Linked DNA regions of Caenorhabditis elegans. The protein of the gene in region 2 interacts with the protein of the main gene of each other region in a pairwise test. Each region holds a gene or a part of one and is shown on either strand. Other genes may lie near its edges.

Region 1 (6,467 bases), on a different chromosome or scaffold from region 2:
CGTCATTAGTTCACGACTTTACCTTCACAGACTTCGCGTTTGTTGAAAGTAGTGTAAAATAGGAAAAATAAAATATTGTGAAAGTCTGAGAAGGTAAAGCCGTGAACCAATGACGTGGTTTTTGACGAAAAATGAGTATTTTTCGCATGTCGGGAATTGTCGAGAAATGCGGAAAAATTGCGGAGAAATTGCTAATTTCACGACATTTCATGTCATTTCTCCGCACACTTGCATTGCAAAATATTTGTCGAGAAATGACGAGAAATTCACTTGCATCATCCCATTAGCGTTCGAATATAAAAATTTAACCAACCTTTTCGGTTTTTTTTTGTAACTTTTTGCTGATAAAGATTTTGATTAAATTGAAAGTTGTAACTTCTAAAAATCAACTCTGTTTTCAGTTCGATATGTGTCACTGCTGCAAATGGTCAAGGAGTTTTAATATGTTGTTCTCAACCTTCTGGTGTTACACCAATATGCCCAAATAATGCAGTTTCTCAACCATCCACGATAGGATATGTAGAATGCTCACAAAATAATCCGACTAATTGTATAACTGGATATCAATGTGTACAATCTTCTAATGTTGCTTCCACTTTTCTATGTTGTTCCTCTTCAATATCAACTTCATCTTGCCCATCTGATTTCACACCAGCAGTTGGTTCAAATGGAGGAACGGTTGGTTGTAGAACTTAAAACTTCCCAATCTTAATACCAAATAATGTTTAGGTATCCTGTAGTCCTTCTGTATCCACGTGTCCATCTGGTTCATCGTGTATGCAAAGTACTCTCAACTCTGCATTCATATGTTGCAGATCCTCAAGCTCGCAGAGAATTTGCTCTAACAACCAAATTGCACTTATTACAAATGGAGCTCTCGAGATGTGCACAACACCCGGAACACAATGCTCATCGGTATCTTATTTTATTCTGATTGAAACAAAAAAAAAACAACTTTCAGGCCGGGTACACGTGCCAGCTATCAGTACTTCTAGCAACATATGTTTGCTGTGGACAAGGGTCAACTGGATCAACGATCGGATGCGCTGATGGGCGACCGGTTTATCAACAGATTGCTGGTCAAACTTATACTTGTGAAATCACGAGTGCTATCACAAGTTGCCCATCCGGTTATGATTGTGCACCATCTGATGATCCGTTCGTAGATGTGTGTTGTTTAACGGGTAAATATATTAAAGATAGGCTCGTCAACTGAAATCCACATAACTTAGCGATTTTTCTATTTAGAATTTTAGGTTCGACCCCGATTCCGGAAAACCTTTCATGTCCGACTGGTTGGAATTCTTACAAAAATGAAGTGGATAACGCAGTTCGTACTTGCACAGCTGTACTTGACACATCATGTCCAATTGGATATTCATGTGCACCGTCAAATCAAGTATCCCAATTTTTATGTTGTCGCCTTGCTTCTTCTTTAATTTGTATCAACGGGAAGACATTACTTGTCAATGGTGCTCCGAAACTATGTACACCAACTACTTATAGTCAGTGTCCCTATAATTATTCGTGCCAGCAAAGTGTAAATGTAAGTTGGTTTTTTCCAAAAAAAAAAGTTAAAAATAATTTATTTTCAGCCCACTGTAACAGTATGCTGCTCCAATACATAAATTCATCAGTGAAATCGTTTTATTTTAATATATTTGAAAATAGAGAGTTCAATGAAGTATAACATTATCATAAATTTTCTTCAATGCAGTCTCAATCTCCTCCACGTGCTCTTTTCCACGAGTTTCTGCCACAACCTTAACTTTAACGTGGAATACATCCGTTGAGATCCATGCTCTTTCGTGGAAAATATCTTTGATTGATGCTCCAAGATGAGCAATTGTAGTTGTTAGTTCAGCAATACCTCCTGGTCTATCTGATACGACAACTTCTAAACGAACAAGTCTTCCATCTACAGCTAATCCTCTTTCAATTGATCTTCCAAGTACTGTTGTATCAATATTTCCACCGGAAAGAATTGAAACAACTTTCTTTCCTTTCAATTCTGGTACTTTTCCTTCCAAAATAGCTGCTAATCCAACAGCTCCTCCTCCTTCAACAACAGCCTTTTCAACTTCCAAAAGTCTTAAAATACTCAGCGCAATGCTTTCTTCTTTCACTGTGATAACCTGCAACATTTCTTATCAGTTGTAATGACCCAGTTATCAACTATCAAACCTTATCAACCAAGCCTTTTGCTGTCTCCAAAGAATTTCCGCCGACTGTGGGAACGGCGAGACCATCAGCAAGTGACGCTTTGGCCTGGGAAGTTATTATATGGCCAGCTTCATATGCTTCAGTGAACGATGGGCAGGTTTCTGATTCAATTCCCTGAAAAAGAAACAAAATATTCATTTTAAAATGGAAATAGTTCGAACGGTTACTTTAAAATTTGCAATTATGAGAAATGAGCTTACATAAATATGAACATCCGGCTTCAATGTCTTAACAGCTGTTGCGATTCCAGCAATTAATCCACCACCTCCAACTGGTACAAGAATTGTATCAACATCTGGAACTTGATCAAGAATTTCAAGTCCAATTGTTCCTTGTCCAGCAAGAATATCAATTGCATCATAACCATTAATGTACTTTAAGTGATTCTCTTTAGCGTGACGAAGTGCAAAGTCCTTGGCCTGAAATTTAGAGAAAGTTCAAGTTTTATTGCCTTCCTTGCAAAAAAAAAACCAACCACTGCAATACTCTCTCCCTTGAGAATAACTGTTGCTCCCAAGCTTCTGCAGAATTGAATTTTCATAAGTGGAGCAATAACAGGCATGACCACTGTCACTGGAATCCCCATTTGTTGTCCATGATAACTGAGAGCTAGAGCATGATTTCCTGCGCTCGCAGCGATCACTCCTGCTTTTTTGAATTGCTCAGCCATTTTTGAAAGAGCGTATCTTGCTCCTCGTTCTTTGAATGATCCTGTCACTTGCAGATATTCTTTTTTGAAATAAAGGTCCATTTCACACTTGGATGACAGTTGAAGAGATCGCTGAAAAGTTAGAATTAAAGAAAAATTGTAAAATATAAAATTGTTTCGAAAACTTACCACACATGGTGTTGTTTGAACTCCATTTTTAATGTTAAATGCAGCACTTGAAATATCAGAAAATTTCAATTTCTTTGGGTTCTCTGGATCACAATCCGGATCGAAAAGTGGAGCTTCAGCTGAAAAGTTATAATTTTCGTAAATTTATATTGTCTTTAGAACAGTAACTCACTATCACTGTTACTTCCAGAAGTCTGTTTATCATCAACATGTGGGGACTCGGCTCCATGGGTTAAGAATGCCTTATGAAGCTTTCGAACTCTTTTGTTATATTCCATTCCATCTTCTTTACTGATGCTTGCTGTCCGTTTACGTTCAGCCTGCTTCACTCGATGATGGTGAGTTTTTTGAGGTGTTGATTCATGCTGAAAATAATTGGATTAATTTTTAAAAACATCTTTTAATGTTGGAGCATTGGAGGTAACATAAGCTTGCCTCATGTCTAAGGGGGGGGGGGGGGCTTTAAATTCTTTTAAATTTCAAGCCGAACTTTCAACAAACAATTTGAATTCAAAACACGGGCGCTAGGCAGGCATGTAAATCGGATGTGCCTGCCTACCGTTCCGTAACCTTTTGGATAATTTAAATATTTTAGTAACTTGAAATTTTAACTTACAGAGTGATCATGATGATGAATAATCGACTTCTTTCGAGATGGAGCAACCATAATTATTTTGAGGCTGAAATTTTATAAGTATGTTTTCCCATAAATTGAAAATTTGTAGCATATATAAATAATAAAATAGAAATTCAAAAAAATAAAAGGGCAGTAATAGAGGAAATCTAGAAAAACTGGTTATTTTAACCTAGATAAAATTGTTTTTGAAAACATAACACTTTCTAAAACTGATGTAAGAATAAAAAATAGAAGAATCAGAGAAATAAGATATTTATTATTAAATAACTTGTGATAACAGTGATACCAATTTACAGTAACTAAAGAACAATCAATTGTCCTGAAACTCACTTTATAGTCTTGATCGGCCAAAAACCGAAAGAGATTTCGTCGACACGTGGGTTGAAAATGAAGCTCCGCCTTTCGAAAAAACACTAAATTGCATCAAATTCCTTATCAAATTCTCCCAACGATAACGGTTTCGACGACGTTTCAGGTATTCGAAAAGGTGTTTTTATTGGGAAAATGTGGTGATCACTCGATCGATAGATGGATAAACACAGAGGGATCAAGGAGCGAAATGTGATCAAGTAAGCAATAAAAGAAATGACGAGATTTTATAAGGAAACAGATGATAGAAGGAGAAGCAAAGTTCATTTGAATGGTTTATTGGCTGAATTGTATTTACAAAAATGTCAGAAGTGAGAGACTAGTGACGTTTTTATTTTGGCGAACGATTAGTTTTGGCTTTTTCTAAGATAATTCCAAAACTAAAACTTTCAAGAGGTAGCCGGTATTTGGAAATGTGAATTGAAAAAATTTTAGGTACGGTTTCTATGTGAAAGTCCAATTTTCTTCAGACTTCCCTCTTAACACAAGAGCAATGGAAAAAAGAAAAGTGTTAAGGAAAGCTGAATCAAACTGCCTGGTTCCTTTTAAGTAAGATTTTTCAGGATGATTTATAAGACAAAAAATGAGACATTTATTTTCTTTAAATTCCACTCCGCTTTGGTCATTCCATTCATTTTTCTGAACTTTGAGAACACTAATATCCGGTTCTGTATAAAACTTATACAGGTCGCTTGTTCTAACCAAGTTTGGTTATTTTCTTTAAGATCTTTAATATCATTAGTAAACTAGTCTACAAGAAAACTTCTTCTTTGATGGTTTTGATGAATGTAACTTTTCATACTGCAACCCGAAAACTCCTGACATTTCATATACATCGACTCATGAACGCCTATCCTTCCAGGCTTTAAATTAGAAAAAAAAAGTTGGAACTTTATTTTTAAAACATTTACATTTCAGATAGATTTGGTTTGTTTTCCAGTATTTGGTATCTTCAGAATCAGTGAAAATATTTCTTAATTTCATGATGGTATCAAATGACAGATTCGATCATTTCTCTACACGTGCAAATCTAATTCAATTGATCATTTGGCCTCATTGATATTTCAAATTCTCAATTTCCCGAATTCTAAGGTACATGACGAACTGAGTGCAGTAGAAGGAACTTGATAGACACGCGGTTCTTCTCTTTGAACAGGCCAAAATGTGTGACTGAAGACACTTGATAAGAAAATTCAGAAAATAAAAAGACGAAGAGTCTGGTAATCGTAATTGAAAATTCAACTTTTATGATTCTGAATAAAAGTACAAACTACAAGTATGTGAGGTATTAGAAAATATCGGTTTCCTGATGTAACATGTCTGGTGTTGTAATAAAAAACTTTTGTCTCTGATATCTTGCAATTTGTCTTGTATGACCTTCAACTGATGAAATCTTGAAATTTAAAAGGTTCGAAGAAGTGTTTTGATGTACAAAAGTGATGATATTCATATGCAATAACTGGGAAAGACTTTTCCGTTTTATCCGCCATAATCGAACATTGTTTGAGTTTCAGAAAAAAAACATTTGTTGAAAAACAACTAAAAAATATTTTGCCACATTTTATCAATTTCAAGTTTTTCGATATTGTCATGTTTAGCCAAGTTACAGACCGTTAAAAAAAAAACAATTTTACCCATAAAACTCTTCATATCCAACGCAGAAAATTAAAATTTGGACGAAACATCGCACTTTTTAGTGCTCTATCAGGATCCATCAAAATTGCTTCAAAAATAATGTTCATCTTCAAAATCGTCCTCCGCTCCGAAAAATGAAATCGGACCTTTGCCTTTCGGAAAATGACCAAAAAATGAAATTGGGATATGCGGGTCGAAAAAAAAATTTTTAGAAAGCTGAGAACACGTTATTTACGAATTTCATGTTCATTTTTGATGAATTTCCGTTTCAAATGGTCTGAAATTAAAACGGCGCCGATTCGATTCTCACGTGAAATTTATTATTTGCTTAAAAAGATGCAAAACTGATCGAATCCCCAGTTGTTGTTTAGCGAAAAAGTGTCACGTGAGAATATAATTAGGTTCATGTTTTAATTTCAGGCCATTTGAAACGGAAATTCATCAAAAATGAACATGAAATTCGTAAATAACGTGTTCTCAGCTTTCTAAAAATTTTTTTTTCGACCCGCATATCCCAATTTCATTTTTTGGTCATTTTCCGAAAGGCAAAGGTCCGATTTCATTTTTCAGAGCGGAGGACGATTTTGAAGATGAACATTATTTTTGAAGCAATTTTGATGGATCCTGATAGAGCACTAAAAAGTGCGATGTTTCGTCCAAATTTTAATTTTCTGCGTTGGATATGAAGAGTTTTATGGGTAAAATTGGATTTTTGTTCAAAAACGGCATGTAACGTGGCTAAACATTACAATATCAAAAAACTTG
Region 2 (9,485 bases):
GCTCGGTCCGATGACCATTTTAATTTCGTTAAAAAAATTTAACTGTTTTTGAATAAAATCATAGATTGATGTGAGATATGAGTAAAAAACTAGTTGATTTGTCAAAAACTTCATCATCGATGAGGAAGGAAGTGTTTAGAACTCAAAAAAAAATAGTGAAAAACTCTCTACGATTTCGAGATGAAAATTATAATCCAAATAAGAAATACTTATGACAAAAAAATCTAGCAAGAAACATTTATTCTAATTTCAAGTTAATTTTCTTGAATATGTTAGATTCCAAAATAAAATAAACGGAACGGAAACTAAAGAGATGGTTGTTGGTGTCTGCTCACTATCAGTTGATGACTCAACAATTCTTAAGTGATGAGTCAGTTGAAAAGGAGAATCGATTTTAAAAGGGGAATCATACGTATATAATGGATGCTAATATCGAATGAAAATTATATTAAATTATGGAAGAATCTCTTTGAAATTGGAAGGTTTGAAAAGAATTCTCAGCCGTCTAGGCTGAAATACTACAAAATAAAAATGAAAAATATCCCGAAAAAATCGTGTAAGAATCCAACTTAAAAAATCGAGATTTTCCAATTCTACCTAATTTCGATTCTTTCCTAATCTCACTTGATTTTGATTTGATTTTCTACATTCCTATTGCCAACGATGTTTTCAATAATGTTAATGAAATTTTCTTGTTTTTTTCCCATTAAAGTGAATTCAAAATATTTTATTGTCATATGCTTGGTTCTAGTAAATTTTTAATTTTTTGAAAAAAAAAAGAACGAGCCCTATATGATTATATGATATGATCACATGATATGATGAGTATATGATTTTTTGCTTGGTATTTAAATTTTAAAATTATAATTTAAAATTCTACTTTTTGAAGAAAAAGGAAAAGCCCTGGTAGTTGAGCCATAGAGAAAGTGCAAAGAGAACTGTTCCTGATAATTTTGAACATTTCTGAAAAGCTTCAATAAAATATCTAGAGCCTGGCCTAAGCAAAGAGCTCCAATTATCTTTTCCGAATCAAGACCTTCAATTATATCCAGTCACATGATTTGTTTTTATTCATAATTCACTTTTTTAGACTTCGGTCTCCTGTCGCACTTTTCTGCTTCACTGAATTTTCTGCGAATTCTTGCATGCATTTTCAAATAATCTGCAACATTTTACTGATTCTCTATTATAATTTCAAGGAAATTTTATTTCATTGCTTTCATTGCAGCCTGTCTAAAATTGTTCTAAACCGATGTCAGAGTATAGACATTAAAATTTGTAATTTTTGCAAATAATCTTTTTTTTTAAACCAATCATTGAATAAAATCTCAAAAAATCAAGTTTCAAAAGTCTCTTGAATTAATAACTAAGAGCTAGAGCTCCCCTGGTAGGTAGATGCGTTTTCAGGCCCTGGCGCATGCCTTAACCCTTTTTCATGTATGTGATATAAAAATAGTCTATATACATAGAAGCCATGCTACTAATAATGTATTACAAATCAGTGAATATCATCAAACATTATAACTTCTCTGTGAATTTTTTCAAAGAAGACTATCCGGAATTTTACTTTTTCTCATTTTTAAATAAATCAACAATGTTATGGTAAGCTTCTGATTCATCCTATGTCTAGTTGTGTTTTAATTTAAAATCTACACATGTCTATGATTACTTTTTGAAGCACCTCCATCCCTTTATAATTCAAAAACGTCAAGTTTAAAATGTATATGTTTCCAAAGTTTCGGACACATGAACAACTACTTCTGAGTGTTCACTAGAAACATATGCTCCATTCTTCACATTGTCTGCGTCTCTCAACTGCGCAGGATCGATATTATGCACATTTTGTGCTCTTTTAACCCTCTCCCTCTCTGTCCCCCATCTTGAAACCACCTTTTATTCCTCCAGAAGTCTCCTTCTCTCAAACTCTCTATCTGCGTCTCTTCGTATTTTTACTATCACTCATCTTCCGACATCTTCTTCCGATTACTTCTTCCTCGTCTTTTCGGGAGTGACAATATTACTTTAGTCCATCCGTTTTAGTACTTCTTTGTACGAAATGTAACACTTGTGTGAACATTTTATAATGAATAGGATCTGTTTTTTTTGCTTATTTAGACATTTTATTCACATTTTCATATTATTGAAGAACTTTAATATTTTAATATTTTGATGAGAAATTAGAAATTTTCTCCATTTTTCAACGTCAATGATGTTTTCAATCTTTTTAATGCATTTTTTTCCTTTAAAGTTAATTCAAAATATTTCTAAAAATTTCAAATGTATGCATATTTTTCCGATTGTCCAGATGTGACATAAAACCAAAAATATTGAAATTCCACGACTACAATTTCTGGTTTTTAGTCACTTTCTCTAGCGGTTATTGCTTCAAAATTCCGTTTCTCGATACAATATGATTATTTTTCCACATTAAACTAATCTTCTTAAGTTCCAGACCACTCTCACTAAATCAGGAATGCACCAAAATTTTCCTTGACACCTACATTGATAGCCAAATATTTAGTGACAAAAAATGGTGGAAATAATGAAAAAATCTTCAAAACAGGAGACTGTCAAAGTAAGTTTTTTTGGGGTTTTCAAAATCTTTTTTTTTGTTCGAAACATGTTCAAAAATTAGTTCTCAAAATGTAAAATAAATGAAGTATTTTTTAGAAGTACGAAAAAGAAAAAAAACTAAAATTCACCTGTCTTCAAATTTTCCATTTTCCAACATAAGTTATATTCAACGTAATAAAGTACATGCTAGTTTCTAAAATGTCTGATTTTGACCAAAAGGTGAGTTATTTTAATTTTAAATTAATTTGAAACCGTATTTTAATATAAGCACTAATAAACGTAATTTTTCAAGTTTTAACATAATTTTTTTTTAAGTCCAAAACGTATATTAGTTTTTACTAAAAATACAATTTTCCTCTAAAAACTTTTCGAAGCATCACTATTTATGATTCAGTTGAGTTTTGCATTTGAAAGAAAAATCACAAGACTCTAAGTAAATTGTACTTTTTTTCGTTACTTCTCATACAAAAACCACCAGCTTAAAAATTTCATAATCCAGTTTTATACATTTCCAAATTCAAATAAATGTATTTATTTATGTTTACAGGTAATTGTGAGATGTCGACCGTTATCTTCACAAGAAATTGCAAATAATTATTCAAAGTAAGTAAAGTTTGAAATATTTATATTTTGAAATTTCGATCATTTTCAGAATAGTACATATGCGACCACAACGTGGGCAAATTGAGCTGAAAAATCCAAAAGAGCAAGATGAGCCATCGAAGGATTTTACATTCGATGCAATTTATGATGAAAAGTAAGATTATTTATTTCTAGGAGTACATCACTTTTTTTTCACCTGCTATAGAAATATTAGTATTTTTCAAAATTATTTCTCCACAATTTTATGTTTATGATTTTATGAGTTCTCTTTTTTAAAAATATATATTTTATAGTTCCACACAATCGGATCTATATGAAGAAACCTTTCGAGATCTAGTTGATTCGGTTCTAAACGGATATAATGCCACGATTTTTGCATATGGTCAAACTGGAACTGGAAAGACTCACACAATGGAAGGAAAATCATCGGATCCAGAACAACGAGGTGTCATCTATAAGTGTATTGACCATATTTTTGAGCACATGGCAGCATCACATAATCAAGAGTATTTAGTTAGAGCTAGCTATTTGGAAATTTATCAGGTAAGGCGTTAGGATGTGTGATTTACAAAAATGAAATCTTTAGGAGGAACTTCGAGATTTATTAGAAGCCGAATCGAATAAGAAATTAGAAATTAAAGAACGTCCAGATGGAGGAGTTTATGTGAAAGATTTAACGGTAAGTGATAGTTTTCTGAAATAGAAGACGACTATAAATTTCAAAGTTTCAGTCAAAATTAACAAGGACAGTAGGTGAAATACACGAAGTGATGATTCGAGGAAATGGGCATCGGTCTGTAGGGTAAGTTATTTCTGTGGTCGCCGTTGGATTTGATTTTACTAAAATTTTCAGGCGAACCAACATGAATGAGCATTCGTCTCGTTCCCACGCTATCTTTATCATTACTGTTGAATGTTCCCGAATTGGTGAAGACGGAGAAAGTCATATTACAGTTGGTCGACTAAATCTTGTAGATTTAGCTGGTTCAGAACGGCAATCGAAAACAGGAGCAACTGGCGAAAGATTTAAAGAAGCTACGAAAATCAATCTTTCATTATCGGCTCTTGGAAATGTAATCAGTGCATTGGTGGATGCGAAATCTGCCCATATTCCTTATCGAGATTCAAAACTGACTCGACTTCTTCAAGATTCTCTCGGTGGAAATTCAAAGACAGTTATGGTTGCTTGTATTGGACCTGCAAGTTACAATTTTGAGGAGACACTTGGTACATTACGATATGCAAATCGAGCTAAAAACATCAAGAATCAACCGAAAATTAATGAAGATCCTAAGGATGCTTTACTGCGAGAATTCCAAGAAGAAATTGAAATGCTCCGTGAGCAACTGAAGCAGAGAAAGACAAGATCGAGGGATGGAGCAACTCAAAGTTTTTATGATGCTGAACGAGCAAAACTTGAAGATGATATTGAAGCAATTCAAAAAGATGATTCACTGATAAAACATGAAAAGGATCGATTAATAAGAGAAATTCAAGAGAAGCATGATCTGTTAGAAAAGGAACGGATAGAACAAGCACGGGTTGCTGAAAGAATAGCAAACATTCAAAGTCGACTTATCGTAGGATCTGAAGAAGATGGAAGGTTAGAATCAAGGACAAAAGAACAACATGCACAACTGGAAAAGAAGAGAAGAGAACTTGCCGAACAAAAACGAAGGGAAAGAGAAATGGTTGAAGCATTGGAACGGCAGGAAGAGGATACTGTGGATTTGAAACAAACATTTTCGGATTTAAGGACAGAGGTGGAGGCAAAGACAAAAAAGTTAAAGAAGATGTTGATAAAGTTGAGACAGGTTTGACTTCAGATGTACCAGGTGTCAAGATAAGGTTTGTGAATGTTTCAGGCTCGCAATGAGATTCGTGATGTGTCTGGAGCATATTCCGACGAACGACAAGATCTGGATCAGACAATTGCGGAAGTGAGCAAGGAATTGAAGTTGAAGTAAGTTCAGTGATATCTCAATTACAATTTAATAGATTCTCACTCATTTTCATTTCTTTCACTTTCTTTCGTATTCTAATTTGAATTCAAATAGTGTAATTTGATACCGACAGCGCAGGTTCTTTATTCTCACAATTCTCTCCTTTTCCCCCCAGAAGAATTTTCTTTCGTTAGGATTTGATGTTCATTTTTTTTAATAGAATAATATAAGTTTTCAGGCTTCTTATTGTTGAAAACTTCATCCCTCGAGACGTGAGTGAAAGGATAAAAGAACGAGCAGAATGGAATGAAGATAGCTTTGAATGGAATGTTAACGCATTTCAATCAACTTCTTCTAATTCGTCAACACCATTAAACAATAGTAAGTTTTGTGTTTAAAAATTAATTAGATTGAATAGGGGACTTTTATTTAATCAGATTTCCAATTCAAAACTAATTCCTCTTATTTCAGCAATTGAAGTCAACGAAGACGGTGTCTTTACACGATCATCTGGTGCCGATAGTGGTGTCTCCGTGAGCGGCGGAAACGGGACGCCTGCGACATCGCAATTTTTGGACAAAAGACTGGTGAGAAGAGACTTAGAGAAACGAGAGCGAGTGGCTCCATTAGGCATGCATTCGAGATTCTAGCTCATATAGAAAAAGAAAAAGAGGCAAACAACATTTTCGATTTCTTTTTCTTTTTTTTGTGTTCTTGAAAATCACGACATCGTGTGTCCAATTCAGTTGTTCCTTTTCTCATTTTTCAGTCGAATTCTGAATATTTTTATTTGTAGTGGCATTGTATAATACCGACTTTTGTAGTTCACTATGTCAGTGCTTAGAAAGTATTAAGTACATTTTGATACAATTCCCTTATACAAGCTGTGGCAACTTACTAAAAACTGCTCAAATATATTCCCATGTTTCTGGCAGGACGTTGCCTAAAATCTGTTAGTACTGATTACAAAAATCTGAATACAATAATTTGGGTAATATTATTGTAATAGTATAACTCAAAAGTACAGTTCATAAGTTTGACCGAAATTAAAATTTGTATAACTTTAGAACCAATTCAAATTTTATATGAGCTATCCACCATCATTTACAAAGTTACCATTACTAAATTAGGTTTAAATTGAATAATTATTTATTCAGGTGGCAACTCCTGGCTGTCGACGGCCTATGTCAATGTGTGAGCGGATGCTCGTGGAAACAGCTCGAGAACAATTCGGTGCTCAGAGGAGGCCTCCTATATCAGGTATATATTTTTGAAATATCTTTTTTAAACATGATACAGTGAATCTAAAATATCACTTAAAACACTTATCTAATTACTTTAGGTGTCTCTTATAATTCTAGAAGTTTGGATTGAAAAAGTTTCATCACAATTTCCGTTTTCTTATCTAATTCTCGCACTCTCATCTTCACCGGAAAACTGGCCTGTCGTCTCTCCCGGGTGGCCTTATGTTTCATGTTTCTCTTTATCTATTTATCTATGCAGTTCTGATGGACTGACGCTCTCTGTGCTCTTCCGCAACTTTTTTTCTTTGTGTGTACTCTTGCTCCCGGCAGTTGTCGCCTTTCATTTTTCTATTTCACTATTTGTTCCCTACCTAGTTTTATGCATTTGTTTGTTTGACGATCTTTTCAAAACCTAACACCGAATTTAGAACTCCATCAGTTTTTCTTGACTTCTTGACTACATTTTCAGTTTAAAATCCATTGAGCTTACAAAAATCGAAAATTTTCAGGTTCAGGATCGTTTGTCGAGGCGACAATTCCCGAGGAGACAATCCGATTCTGTGGGGAGAACGTTGTCGTTTTCAGTGCTCTGGAACGATTTGTTCCAGAGGTGACTGACTCGGATCCGTCCACTTTTTCAAACTCAATGATGATGGTACGTTTCGAGGTTTTATGGCTTATTGTTAATTTATTAAAATTGTTCAAACAACCTCAACTCTAATAGAAATCAAAGTTCTATTTGAATGAATTGAGCGAAGGATTAGTGAAAAAAGAAGGGATTTTTATGCAGGATATCACATGCATTTTATTAGACTCGTTTTTTTTCTCTATCCTCTTCTCATCAGAAATATTCGTTATTAACAACATTCATTTTTTAGACTTTGAGTTTCTCATTTATTTTTTCATTTGAATATTTTTTCAATCCAGAAATTTTCAGTCAGCACGTCGTCCATCAATCGAGAATCTGACAATCGACGCGTCGAAGGTTCTCGTTCCAATTCTGAACCAATCGACTATGATATTAAAGTACGTTTTTTTGTGGAATTATTGTCATGAATATTCTGTTTTAATAGTGAAAATATATGCTGACGAAAAAAGTACAGTTAAAAAATGCAACAAAAAAAAACAAGAAATGGGTCCATTCGATTCTAAATTCAAATTTTCTGACTTTCGAAAAGAATATCTGAAATAAAATGGCAACAAAACTTGGATATAAGGACCCGCCAAGATCTTGGCTTTGCTGAGATTTTACATCGATTTTTTATTTACTAAACGGAATTAGTTTGTACTAGTTTTTGATTTTCACTGTATATGACACACAAATAAGAACAAAAATTGCATGAAAAACATTTCAGAAATTCAAAAAACGGTCAAGCCCGCAACGACACAATGCCACCGAACGGTTCGATGAGAAGAAGCCAGAATTAGAAAATAATGAAACGATGAATGAGTTAGAATATGTTGATTATCTTATTAATGTAAGTGCCAGATTTTTGTTAGATCTTTAATTAAAATTTAATTTTCCAGAAAACAGAAGAAATGACTAGAAAATTGAATGAATCTACTGATTCTGATGACTACCGTAATCCATTGTCATCTGGGCGTGGTTCTATGACGTCATCATCAATCAATGAACCACGAATGTTTATTTCAACAATGTCGACACCAAGAAGAACTCCATCTAGAATTCCAGCTTTAATGACTAAAAGCTTGCATGCTCCAAGGTAAGTGCAAACGTTGGATTACTAAAAGTAAAATAATTCTTCTCCACATGTGTGTCTTTAATGGTGAAGTATCGTCTGCCAGGTTAAAAAATATATAAATACTTTCATATCAATCATATCAATCTTCCAAATTTTTAGAAAGTTTGGAATTTTTATGAAATTTCAAAAATTTTTGGTTGACTTCCAAAACTATGATAGGTGAAACTGAGTTATTGTCAATTTTTGACTATATTCGAAAAAGTTTCAGAAATTTTGGTTAACATTGTTGCTCTACTTGCCATGCTTTAAACATCTGATTTCAGATCCTTGTCAACCCCTCAACGTGGTGCAACAGTCTACGGTTCGGGAGAGCAGCTTTGTGCTGAAAATTCTGGAGTTGGATTTTCAAGTAACCGGAGAATCGAGACGGAAATGCTTTTAAGTAGAAGTCAAGAGAAGAGAAAACAGAGGGCAAGTAGTTATGATCCAAGGTAAGATCTTTACAGTACTGTCCACATAAACAACGTTTCAAATTTTCAGATGTCTTCTTGCTCTTCACTCATCTCCATTCCGTCTGTCAACATCTGCATCAGCCACTTCTTCATCTCAACACCAAAGATTGTTGACGTCATCATCAATCCACGTTGCATCCTCATACTCTCGACTTCTGCCTCGACGCCCTCAATGGGTTCGTAGTCAACCATCAAGTTCAGTCCAACTTGCTGAATCGACAGTATCATTGGATTCTTTTGAATTGATGAATACTAAATCCAATTTCTATTTGGATTCCGATGAGTCTTCTTCTGATGATTCCGATGCTGAATTTGGTGCTGAGTGTTCTGTTGATGGTGTTGTTGAAACACCGAGAACACGTCGAAAGTTGATTTCAGTTAGAAGGTTGAAAGACAGAAATCGAAAGAAATTCAAGTAAGTCTAGTTTCTCTATTTGGCATTCTATTATATTCTATAGAAAATGTGTTTTAGAAAAATCTTAATTTTCAGATGTTCCATGAAACGTCTACATCCACCAACTTCACCATCAAAAATCTCAAAAAGTGCTTCAAGTTCATCCGATCTTACCTCATTCTTCTGTATCTCTTCACCATATTTCTACCTCCTCATCGCATTCCTATTCCGATTTCTTATATTTTTATCAGATACTTTTCTGCCGATCTTCTGATCTTTAAAACCTAATTCGAAATTTCGAATTTAGTCGTCGTTGCGGGCTTTTTCAGGCCTTCTTGTAGTCTCGAACAGTTTTTTAATAAGAAAATATCACTATTGATACGGTTACCTTTCACATTATTAGTGCTGATTGAAACCAAACTTTTGAACATTGTCAGAAATACTGTTTCCCTTTTCTGTGTGATTTTTTATGTCTCTGGGATTTTTCAAATAATAAATAATAAACGATATTC
Region 3 (9,559 bases), on a different chromosome or scaffold from region 2:
AGAAGAAAAATACGAAGACTCACAGGGACAACGGAGTTCACCAAGCTCTCCAACAGGTTCTGAAACTGTTGTAAGCACTTCTTCCCCACCTGAGCTCTCATCTGAATCAACACCAAATACCAGTGGCTCAGTGATTCCAACAAGTCCAGTTTTCAAACCAAATGGATACTCTTCAATGCCAATGTTCAATCCTGTGTATGGAAGACCATTCATGAGATTTCCGAGTAAGAGAGCTTATTCAATATTATTTCGTAAATTAAACTTATTTTCAGTGTTTTCAGTGATGCCGCATTTCTTCGGAACTCCATCAATGTCAGATTTCGCATCTGCTGCGAGCCTCGCAGCTCCACCAGCGTTCTTCTCAGCCCAGCCAACAATTGCCACGTCATCACCGAGCACAATTTTCCCACAAACTGCTCCATTGGATTACAGTCATCGTTTAATGAAAAATGAGGAAGCCGAAGAAGAATACCGAGAAAATGATAAAACATTTTGAGAAATTGAATATTTTTTCTTATCGTCAGAATCAGAGTTCCAATACTTTGTATATTTTTATATGGTCACATTTAAAATTGTATTTATGATTTGTCTTCAATTAAAAAAAACTAAACTGAATAAAAAATCTTATTAAAATTGAAAAAGAAGTAGAAAACATTGAATAGAAAGATTTTTCGGTGGAAAATGAGCGGGGGGAAACACTTGAAGTTTGAACGGGAAAAGCAGTGTATTATGAAAAGAATTGCAAACGTTTTTGTTCTTTTTTTGATGTTTTTTAAAATGAATTTCAGATTAGCGATTTTAAGTGAAGAGTCTTAAGCAAATCAATTCAATATTTTGGTCAGTTTTAGGCAGTTTCAATGAATCAATTTAAAGAAAAAATGTCGAGAAGGTCTATCATCAAGAATAATAAGAAAATTATGGACAGAAACTAGAGAACTTGAGTGATTTTGGGGAGTTGTTTAAAAGAGAAAAAGTTGTTTAAAAATAATGAGAGCTTATTGTCCGGATTGGATGGTCTTCTGGGTGTGTGTTGCACGCTCCTCTCCATCCTTGTTCACCAATGACGTCACAACATTGGCTCCGATTCCCCAGGTGTTCTCTCCATCGAAGACAAGAGACTCTGGTGGGTTGTTGATGCCTCCTTGGTCACGGGCGTAGATCTGGAAATTTATTGGAATTGGAATATTCTCTTTTCGAAATTATGTAGATTAGTTTCTCAGCAAATGCGAGAAACCCTTAGACTAACCCGAAACGATTAAATTTCATAATGAGACCTCTCAGAAAATGTTTCCAAATTTCTTATGGTGGCTCAAAACTTGGGGAAAACATTTTCAAATTTCTAAAACCTGTAACTCTGATAAAGAGCATTAGAGAAATAACAACTGATTTTCCGATATTGCTACATGGACAATCTCACAAAATTTCAGATTTTAGCAAAATTTGGCCATTCCCTTTCAAAATTTTTTTTTTGGAAATTTTCAGGTGAAAGTACGTTTTTAACGGGCTTCAGACTATGTTGGCTGGGTTTCTCAAAAATATAGTGGCAGACTAAAAAAATACTAAGAATATTTACATAGCTACACACTTTTTTCTAAAACAATGATAAAAATAACTTACGGTCAAGTTCTTTCCTGGCTTGATAACAACATTGGCTGGAATGGAATAGACAATTTCGCGTCTTCCATCCAACTTTCTTCTGATTTTGTGCTCACCAACATTCTCATCCTGAAATAAAATTTTCAACATTTCAAAACCAAAAAGCTTCAACATACCTTGTTTCTGTGCGAGTTCTCAAGCTTGATGAACTTTCCATTTGGATCACACTCGGAAATTGTCACATTTCCCTTGGCGGATCTTTGGAAGGTGGTCTTGGTGGATACCTCACCGCGAACTGATCTTGTCGAATCAGTGTTTTCTTGTTGTTGGAGAGAATGCGTCTTGACGGCTTGCTCAACCATTTGGGTGAGTCCGACTCTGCAAATATATTTTTGAAACTTTTGAGAAAGGTTTTAGAACAAAATGATAACAAAACTGCCCAAAATTTGGCTTGCTGGGAATATTGATTAAATAACGATAATAATTACCTGGTCTCTTCTCCCTCGAGCATTTTTCTGTAGATGGCAATTTCGGCGTCAAGCATTTGCTTGGTATCCAAAAGAGCTTGAAGCTCAGCAACCAATGTTTGGCATTCCTCACGCATTCTTCTCAATGTAGCATCTCTGTCGTTGAGGGCAGCTTCGTATTGTCTTTGATCGTCGGTCAATTGGTAGTTCAAGTTCTGAACTTCCTTCTCCAAAAGTGAGTTCTTGTTCTCCAAATCTCCCAATTTTCCGCGGAGATCTCCAATGTTGTCTCTCATTCTCTTGACCTCATCCCTCTGGTAGGTGGACTCCATATTGGCACGGTTGGCAGATCCTTGAACCTCGGAAACCTTGAGCTTGTACCAGGACTCCATGTCTTGCTTTCCTTGCTTGGCAATGATATCATACTCATCTTTGATATCACGGATGGCAAGAGCCAATTCGTTTTTGAAGAACTCTCTGGTGTCAGCTGGAGCCTGAGCAAGGAGAGCTTGAAGTTCCTTAACCTCTTGTTCGTGAACTCTTCTCAAGAATTCGAGCTCCTCCATCAAAGTCTGCACTTGATTTTGGAAGTCAATTCTGCCAATGGTCTCATCATCAAGATCGCTTCTGGCCTTCTGAAGTTCTTCCCAGATTCTCGAGTTGTCAGCTGTAACACGCTTCTCCTCATCTGTCAATTGCTTGAAACGAGCACGGAGCATCTCAACTTCGGATTGAGCATCAGCGATAGCATTGGTCCATTGGGAGATCTTCTCGCGATCGGACTCACGGCGTTGCTGGATATCTTCGTATCTGAATAAATATTGATAAGCAACAGAAAATTAAGAATAAATAAACCTGGATCTGTACTCAGCCAAGTCGTCACGGTGTCTGGCAACTTTCACATCAACCTCTGCCTTTCTACGAGCAGCATCGTCAATGTCCTTACGAGCTGTTGAGAGGGATTCGGAGTATTTGATCTGAAATTAACAATTTGAATAGGAAAGAAGCTTTAAGAAGTTTGTTCCAAAATATAGGTTGAAATTTTAAAAAAACACTGGACAGGAAGCGCACAGATTTTCTTCTGGTAAGTTGAAGATTTTAAGGATGTTTGAGAGAATTCTCTAATATAGTAAATAAAATCTTGAAAGTTTCGAATATATATCTAAATAGAAATTACTGATTCACAATCAAATAATAAATGTTTTTTCTACAACTACTTCAGTTTTTTGCTTGCAGAAGCTTGCTTAAAATTTATTTGAAATTCACTAAAATACCTTAATCTCGGATGTGTCTTTTCCCCATTTTCCGCGAAGCTCATCCAAATCAGCAACCAATTTACGGTTCTGCTCTTCGAGTTTCTTGACACGATCAATGTAATTTCCGAGACGATCATTGAGTCCCTGCAGTGTCTTCTTTTCCTTATCAGTCGCCTCAAGGAACGATTTTGCTGCGTTTGCGGACAAGGCCGGTGAAATTCCTCCGACTGTAGCTGATCCCATCTCTGTCACCATCTTTAGCACGCGTCCTGAACGTTTTTATAATGATAATTAGGAGATTAGATTTGATTTGAGTGTTTTTATATTTCTATTGGGAATTTATATTTCGATATTCTTCTATTCTTACCTCCTGACATTGGTGCCTGTGGCGCTGATTCAGCCTCCATTTCTGATGTGTTTTAGCTTGAAATTTTAAAGTTTTTCTAGAAGATTAAGGGAAAAAAAATAATGAGGAACAAGTTCGAAAATTTCTGAATGAAAAATGAAAAACAAATGGTATAGAAACTAAATGTAAGTGTCACAAACACTATGCAAAATAACGGAAACCGTCGACCAATTCTGACCCTCTTCTGAATACTCCACCCAACGAAGAAATAGCATTAAATTTGTGGAGAACTTAGAGAAAAAGAATGAAGGTGTGTCAATGGTTTTGCCTTCCCGATCATCACCGATGATAGAAAATGGAGAAAGAGAAGAAGATATAATGGTGATAAGTTGAAGACAACGGACATGTACACATACGTACAGATTGCGAGTTGACTGTGCCTATGAATGAATGGATAAATTGGAAGAAAAGTGGAAAGAGATCAAGACACTACTTACTTAGAAATTGAAGATGAAGAATACGTCAAGGTTGTTGTGGGCGGAGTCAACTAAAGATAATCATCTTGATCAGATCTCAATCATTCATTTTTGTTATCTTTTTTAAATTGCGGGGAAGCTAATTAATTTAACTAGGATTCCATTTTTGACATTTTTTGGTAAGGGAGATATTTTTGTTTCAGAAACTAAATCTAATGGTAGGAAGGCTTATTTTTAGGCCAACGTACCTGTTTTATTTTTGTCAATTTGATAGAAATTCAATTAAGAAAAACATCATTTCCAGTCCTCAAAAATGTTTTTAAGTTTAAGAATCTTGAAACACGGGCCGCAAAAATTGACTTATCTCAAGTTAGAACAAAATTGGTTAAAAAATTAGTTTTGACAACTTAAATGTAAGATGGGACATTTCTAATTGAAAAAAAAAACTCTACACCATCTTGCAATAAATCGGAGAAATCCGAGATTCTATCCGAGAAGATCTCATAAATCAAGTGATAATCAGTATAATAAGTTCTTGTCACTGTTCCACCCAATTCTCACTCATTAAAACTAAATGACTAATCACACATAAAAAATGGGTGTTTTCCATGTCTCAGTTTCTCATCATTCAAAATAGTCACATCTTGGGTGTGGTCATTCCTTCCTTTCTCACCTATTTCTCATCTATTTCGTAACTGTATTCTAAATTAAAAGTTATTCAGGGGATTCTTTTAATTTTAATTCGTTACCCAAAAAAAAACAAAATTAAAATAAATGATGAATAAAATCAATAAAAGCTCGGATTTCTTCAAAGTCCGTCAAGTTTTCAAGTGTGTTGAGCAGTCAGCCGGCTGGCGGAAAGTGTGCCCAAGAAACAACAAACTAAACATTTTGTTGACTTAATCGGCTCAATGTATCTTTTTATACATGTTATCTCAACTGGTTACGAAAATTGAAATATTGTATTTAAAACTGTCTGAAATTTTGGTGCCTCTTTCAATCTGTTATTTGCTTTTTGCATTTTATTTCCAAAAATGTTGCCATTTTTATGTATATGCATAGTTGAAGACTATTTGCCTAACAACTCTTTCTGTCATGCACTATAAACTTGATGGAACTTGAACTTTTAAATTCAATAGATTTTTGGTTTGAAAATGAAGGGCGTTCCTCAGTGATTATGCTAATTGTGAGACTGTATCGAGAGACGAGAAAACCCAGAGATTTATGGGATTTTTTGGATGAGAAAAAGTGGATTTAATGACGGTTGAATAGGAAACGATATGGGCTGCCGGAAAAAAATCTTGTGGTCTTATATTTTGATCTTGATCTCCAGATTTGCTTAAAACAATAAAAAAGAACAATTTTTCTTTTGTTATGGTAATGCCTGCCTATTTTCTATTTTCACAGTGAGTTAACTTGCTCAAAGAACAACTAAAAATTACAAACATAAAAGATAACTTGTGTTTAGGCAGCAGATACGTGCGTAGGCTTACGGCAAGTTATAAGAAGCTAATACTATGTAGTAAGTTTACGTACCTAAATCTCTGACTTAACAAACAATTTTCAATTTCAAATTTTTACTGTTAAAAACTGTTTTTAGCTTTTAATTAAATATATTTCGACTGCAGTTTTTGAAGTTTTAATTATCCTGACATTTTATGCTAAAATTGCCAATTTCAAATTTTCCCCATTTTTGCCTCAAAACTCCAAAAATATTAATATTTGTTTAATTTTTGAGGAATTCCCCCATTTATTCACAGAAATTTCACTTCATAAAAACCTGTTTCTAGATTTTTGTTAAACTATGAAAAAGTGTGGTTTCTTGCCAAGTGAGCAAATATTAAGAAAACTCATTAAATTAAAAATTGCATTTAAAGGCATAAAGTATTACTTTTTATCTTTTAACTTTTATAATTTCGAAAATAATTGATTTTAAGTGATATTTTTAAGCAGAAGATTTTGGATCAACTCCGAGTAGAAAAAATGTAAAATCCCTGCTCAAAATATTATCCTCTACCAAACTGTTCACCTTTCTCAAAAACGTTTCGTTTAGCCAAGAACAAATCAACGCGTTCGCACTGATAACGACTCTTGCTCTCTTTTTCTCGTTTTTATATTTTCTTTTCATCCTCCAGGTCTATATTTCCATCCTCATTTCTATTGTATAGCACAGCAAAAACCAATATTTACTTCATCTTCCAATTGATTAATAAAACCACCCAAACTATTTTTTTGCAATCGGATGAACGAGAGAGAGAGAGAGAGAATAAAGTGTTCGGTTCGATTGATGCGACTGTTCACTAATTCGCTTTGAATTCAAATACATAATTATGGATGGGTAGTAGACGGATAAACATGTAAACAGAGAAATAGAGAAAGAAAGGAAAAAAGAATATTGGAATATTGGTTCAGTTAATAGTTGATCGGATGTATAGTGTCAACTTGAATTAAGGTCATCTATAAGACCGGTCCAGGAGAAAAATAGCTTGAAGGTTTACTACTTTTGAAAAAATAAAAGTATATTCTGAAACTCTCAATCTAACAGGAAAGTATAGAAAATACGTTGGAAATTGAGTGATCTCTGAAGCTTAGACTTCAGTAGGAAATTTTTTTAAAAGATATATAACTATCCGGATTTCAAATCAAGAATTTGAAACAAGAAATGCTCCTGGTATTGATGATTATTTTCAGAGGAAAGGATATAGTAATAGCTGAAATTTTTTTTAATCTTTACCGTTTTCAACTTTAAATTTTTTTAAAATCTAACTAACCTCCGGATCCTGCTCCATTTCCACCAGACACGTAGTTTCCAGACTGACGTGATTGAGAGCGAACCGCTGTTCTTGGCTGGATGGTGGATCTGTATTGCATCTCGTACTCGGAAGATTCCTTGTGAGACGACATCTTCTTTCAGAAGTTTGACGCTACCTGAAATTTTTTTTTTGAAAATATAGAAGCTGAATTGGGAAAATACAGAAAACTGAGCAAAAAGTAACAATTACAAATTTTAATAAAAAGTGTTAAACCTTAAAACAACAATATGATAAAAAAAAATGTTTCTGCATCCTTCGGCATCCAATTTGTTCCTTATCAAAACCCAAATAAGCGTGGCCGGTTTTCAACAAACATACACACTCATATATATGTTCAACATTTTTTTGAGTACACTCCACAAAAAAACAGAAAACAAATAAGGTGGAGGAGGAGTGACTGAACACGCCCATTTTTGTTCATGGAAATCAGAATTGAATATGGGTGGAAGGACATGATGGTGAGTCAACGTTAACCTGTCAAACAAATTGAAACACCCAAGCACATTCCGGAGAATTGTTAGATGGAAGAACAATAGAGATTGAATTTCTCGCGCATTGTGCAGGGAAATTTGCAAGAATTGGGTGGAAAATGACGAGAAAATGATGGAAGTTAAATGATTTTATTCATGATTTTTTTAAAAGATTATCTTGATTTTTTTTTATTTCTGCAGACTACAGTAAATGCTTCTTATAATTGTTTTTTTCGAGCAACGTGAAATGATCGCAAAATAATAAAAACCTTCTAGGTAGGCACGAAACCTACTAGAATTCACAGGAAAAATAGGATGCAACCAAGTACGAAAGCCGGCAAAAAGGAATGATTTCATGCCTATCTCCTTTAAAGACTTAATTGTTCAGATCTGAAAAACTTTCTAAAAAAAGTGGGACAGCGAAATTTATGTTGCATTTTGTTTCGTAAAGTTTTCAACTTTTATGAATGATTTTGAAAATGAATTGCTGTTTTTTTTTTAATTTTAGTATTCATATTTTCATACCTAAAGCTTGTTGACTCAAACTTAAAATCATAATAAAACTAGCAAAAGATGTGAAGAAACATGTGGGTGTTCAGTGAGTCATAAAGTTGGAAATTTATTGAGTAATTGTATGACCAAGTTCTAATTGACACTACTTGAAATCCTAAACCATTCGGTTACTCATTCACGATAGTTTAGAAAGCTTAAAGTAACTTTGGGGTGGAGTGAATAAAAGTAGAAAAAGACACAGTGCTCCTGCTCTGCTCGGAGTAAAAAAGTGAAGCGAAAAAAATGAAATCGGAAAGACACACACACACAAGCATTCCTACAGAATACCGAAAGGGTATTGTGAGGACGGTCTGTTGCGCCGGGGGTCGATGAGGCAGAGGCCCTGAGAAGCGCCCCCACCAATTGCTCCGCCCCCATTTTGTTGCCGAACCGTCGAAAAACGAGCTGCTATTTGCGTTCCTCCTTCTTTTTTCTCTCTGCGCGCTTCACTTTTTGAAATGATGCGCTTGGCGTATAGGCGTATTCCGAGAGAATTTAGAAGAGATGACGACTACTTTTACCTCATAGGAAGTGGCCGATTATCACAGTCAAGGACAAGAGAGAAATGATTTGAAATGGAAAAATGAGGAGATGTTAGTGAGGGAATTGGAAGAGGGGGAGAATAAGACATTGTTAACATTTTGTTTTCATTTATGGGTGAGAATGATGACAAGATTGGAGGTACAAGTGATCAAATAGTTCTACGAAAATGTTCCGTGCTGGCTAAGGTTTTGCATTTTTAATGTTGGGCTGTGGTAAAAAAATTAAGAACTCATTGTCAGTAAACAAGTTTTGTAAACATTGAAACCTGTAAAAAAATAGTTTAAAATTATCGCCGTCCAGTACTAAAGCTGAGGCATACCGTATTTTCCCTACAAAGTCTGCACCACAATTACTCTACTTTGACGGCCTATTTTCCAATTGTCTCAAGTGTTATCAAAAAATTCTCTACAACCAAAATATAGAGACATATTTGGTACATATTTGGTAGTTGACAATTTATTGATAAAATTTAAAGCAACCGAGATATATTCTGCCAAAGTAGAACCAGAAGATACAAGTCTAATAGGAAGAATACGGTAAGTTGAGGCCAATTTCTAATCTCGAGGCAAATGTGAAAACTAGCATGCACAAATATGCCTACCCGCCTATCTACAGGTACGACTCTGCTTGCAAGAGAGATAGGCAAGGAGGTAGGTAGGAAGGTAAGTAAGTCTACTGGTAGGCGGGTAGGCATCATGCGCTCATTTAGCATTGAAAAATTATAGCCGATATGATAGCTTTCTTCCCGGCTAAGTGGGTAGGTCTCAATGCGCCTGTATGCAGGCGGGTGAGCTTTTTGAATGAATAGAAGGCTACATAACGTTGACCCATCTAATAATACAATAACGAACAAATTTTGAAATTCAGAAAGGAATAAATCCAATTTCAATTAATCATCTACAGACTCTACAGACTAGGAACTATCGCTCTTGTTGTTCTGCCTTTTTTTTACTGATTTTTTTTGGTGCAGTTTGAACCTCTACCAATTAATACTATGAGTCTACTGGTTTTCAATAGATGGTTTCGATGAAAAAAAGAAA

Evidence for each region. Proteins that work in one complex are often made in the same cells at the same time.
Region 1: the proteins of klp-11 (region 2) and srdh-1 interact in a two-hybrid assay, tested with the Caenorhabditis elegans proteins (one large-scale study listed by BioGRID).
Region 3: the proteins of klp-11 (region 2) and ifb-1 interact in a two-hybrid assay, tested with the Caenorhabditis elegans proteins (one large-scale study listed by BioGRID).

What each region holds. Positions count from the first base shown.
Region 1 is NC_003280.10:8,262,463-8,268,929, reverse strand, and holds srdh-1 (L-serine deaminase), read right to left. Parts: upstream 3,742-6,467; 5' UTR 3,729-3,741; coding exon 3,678-3,728; intron 3,427-3,677; coding exon 3,234-3,426; intron 3,181-3,233; coding exon 3,062-3,180; intron 3,005-3,061; coding exon 2,699-3,004; intron 2,643-2,698; coding exon 2,424-2,642; intron 2,338-2,423; coding exon 2,185-2,337; intron 2,136-2,184; coding exon 1,677-2,135; 3' UTR 1,629-1,676; coding exon of another isoform or gene 1,596-1,628; 3' UTR 1,570-1,595; downstream 1-1,569. Other genes in the region: K01C8.2 (CC domain-containing protein), read left to right, coding at 402-678, 730-915, 962-1,184, 1,257-1,546, 1,596-1,628.
Region 2 is NC_003282.8:8,755,042-8,764,526, reverse strand, and holds klp-11 (Kinesin-like protein), read left to right. Parts: upstream 1-2,460; 5' UTR 2,461-2,530; coding exon 2,531-2,575; intron 2,576-3,121; coding exon 3,122-3,177; intron 3,178-3,226; coding exon 3,227-3,331; intron 3,332-3,470; coding exon 3,471-3,720; intron 3,721-3,763; coding exon 3,764-3,856; intron 3,857-3,908; coding exon 3,909-3,979; intron 3,980-4,030; coding exon 4,031-4,991; intron 4,992-5,042; coding exon 5,043-5,140; intron 5,141-5,358; coding exon 5,359-5,501; intron 5,502-5,591; coding exon 5,592-5,707; intron 5,708-6,277; coding exon 6,278-6,380; intron 6,381-6,873; coding exon 6,874-7,019; intron 7,020-7,301; coding exon 7,302-7,390; intron 7,391-7,719; coding exon 7,720-7,792; downstream 7,793-9,485. Other genes in the region: F20C5.11 (uncharacterized protein), read left to right, coding at 7,807-7,842, 7,892-8,088, 8,391-8,558, 8,608-8,994, 9,070-9,247.
Region 3 is NC_003280.10:5,763,128-5,772,686, reverse strand, and holds ifb-1 (Intermediate filament protein ifb-1), read right to left. Parts: upstream 7,070-9,559; 5' UTR 7,046-7,069; coding exon 6,913-7,045; intron 4,466-6,912; exon of another isoform or gene 4,342-4,465; intron 3,743-4,341; exon of another isoform or gene 3,727-3,742; coding exon of another isoform or gene 3,687-3,726; intron 3,589-3,686; coding exon 3,338-3,588; intron 3,041-3,337; coding exon 2,919-3,040; intron 2,874-2,918; coding exon 2,085-2,873; intron 1,975-2,084; coding exon 1,773-1,974; intron 1,726-1,772; coding exon 1,618-1,725; intron 1,161-1,617; coding exon 996-1,160; 3' UTR 603-995; downstream 1-602. Other genes in the region: Doublesex- and mab-3-related transcription factor dmd-5, read left to right, coding at 3-224, 273-496. UniProt on the Caenorhabditis elegans protein: Cytoplasmic intermediate filaments provide mechanical strength to cells. Essential protein, involved in attachment structures in epidermal cells that connect muscles to the external cuticle. Required in morphogenesis and epidermal integrity.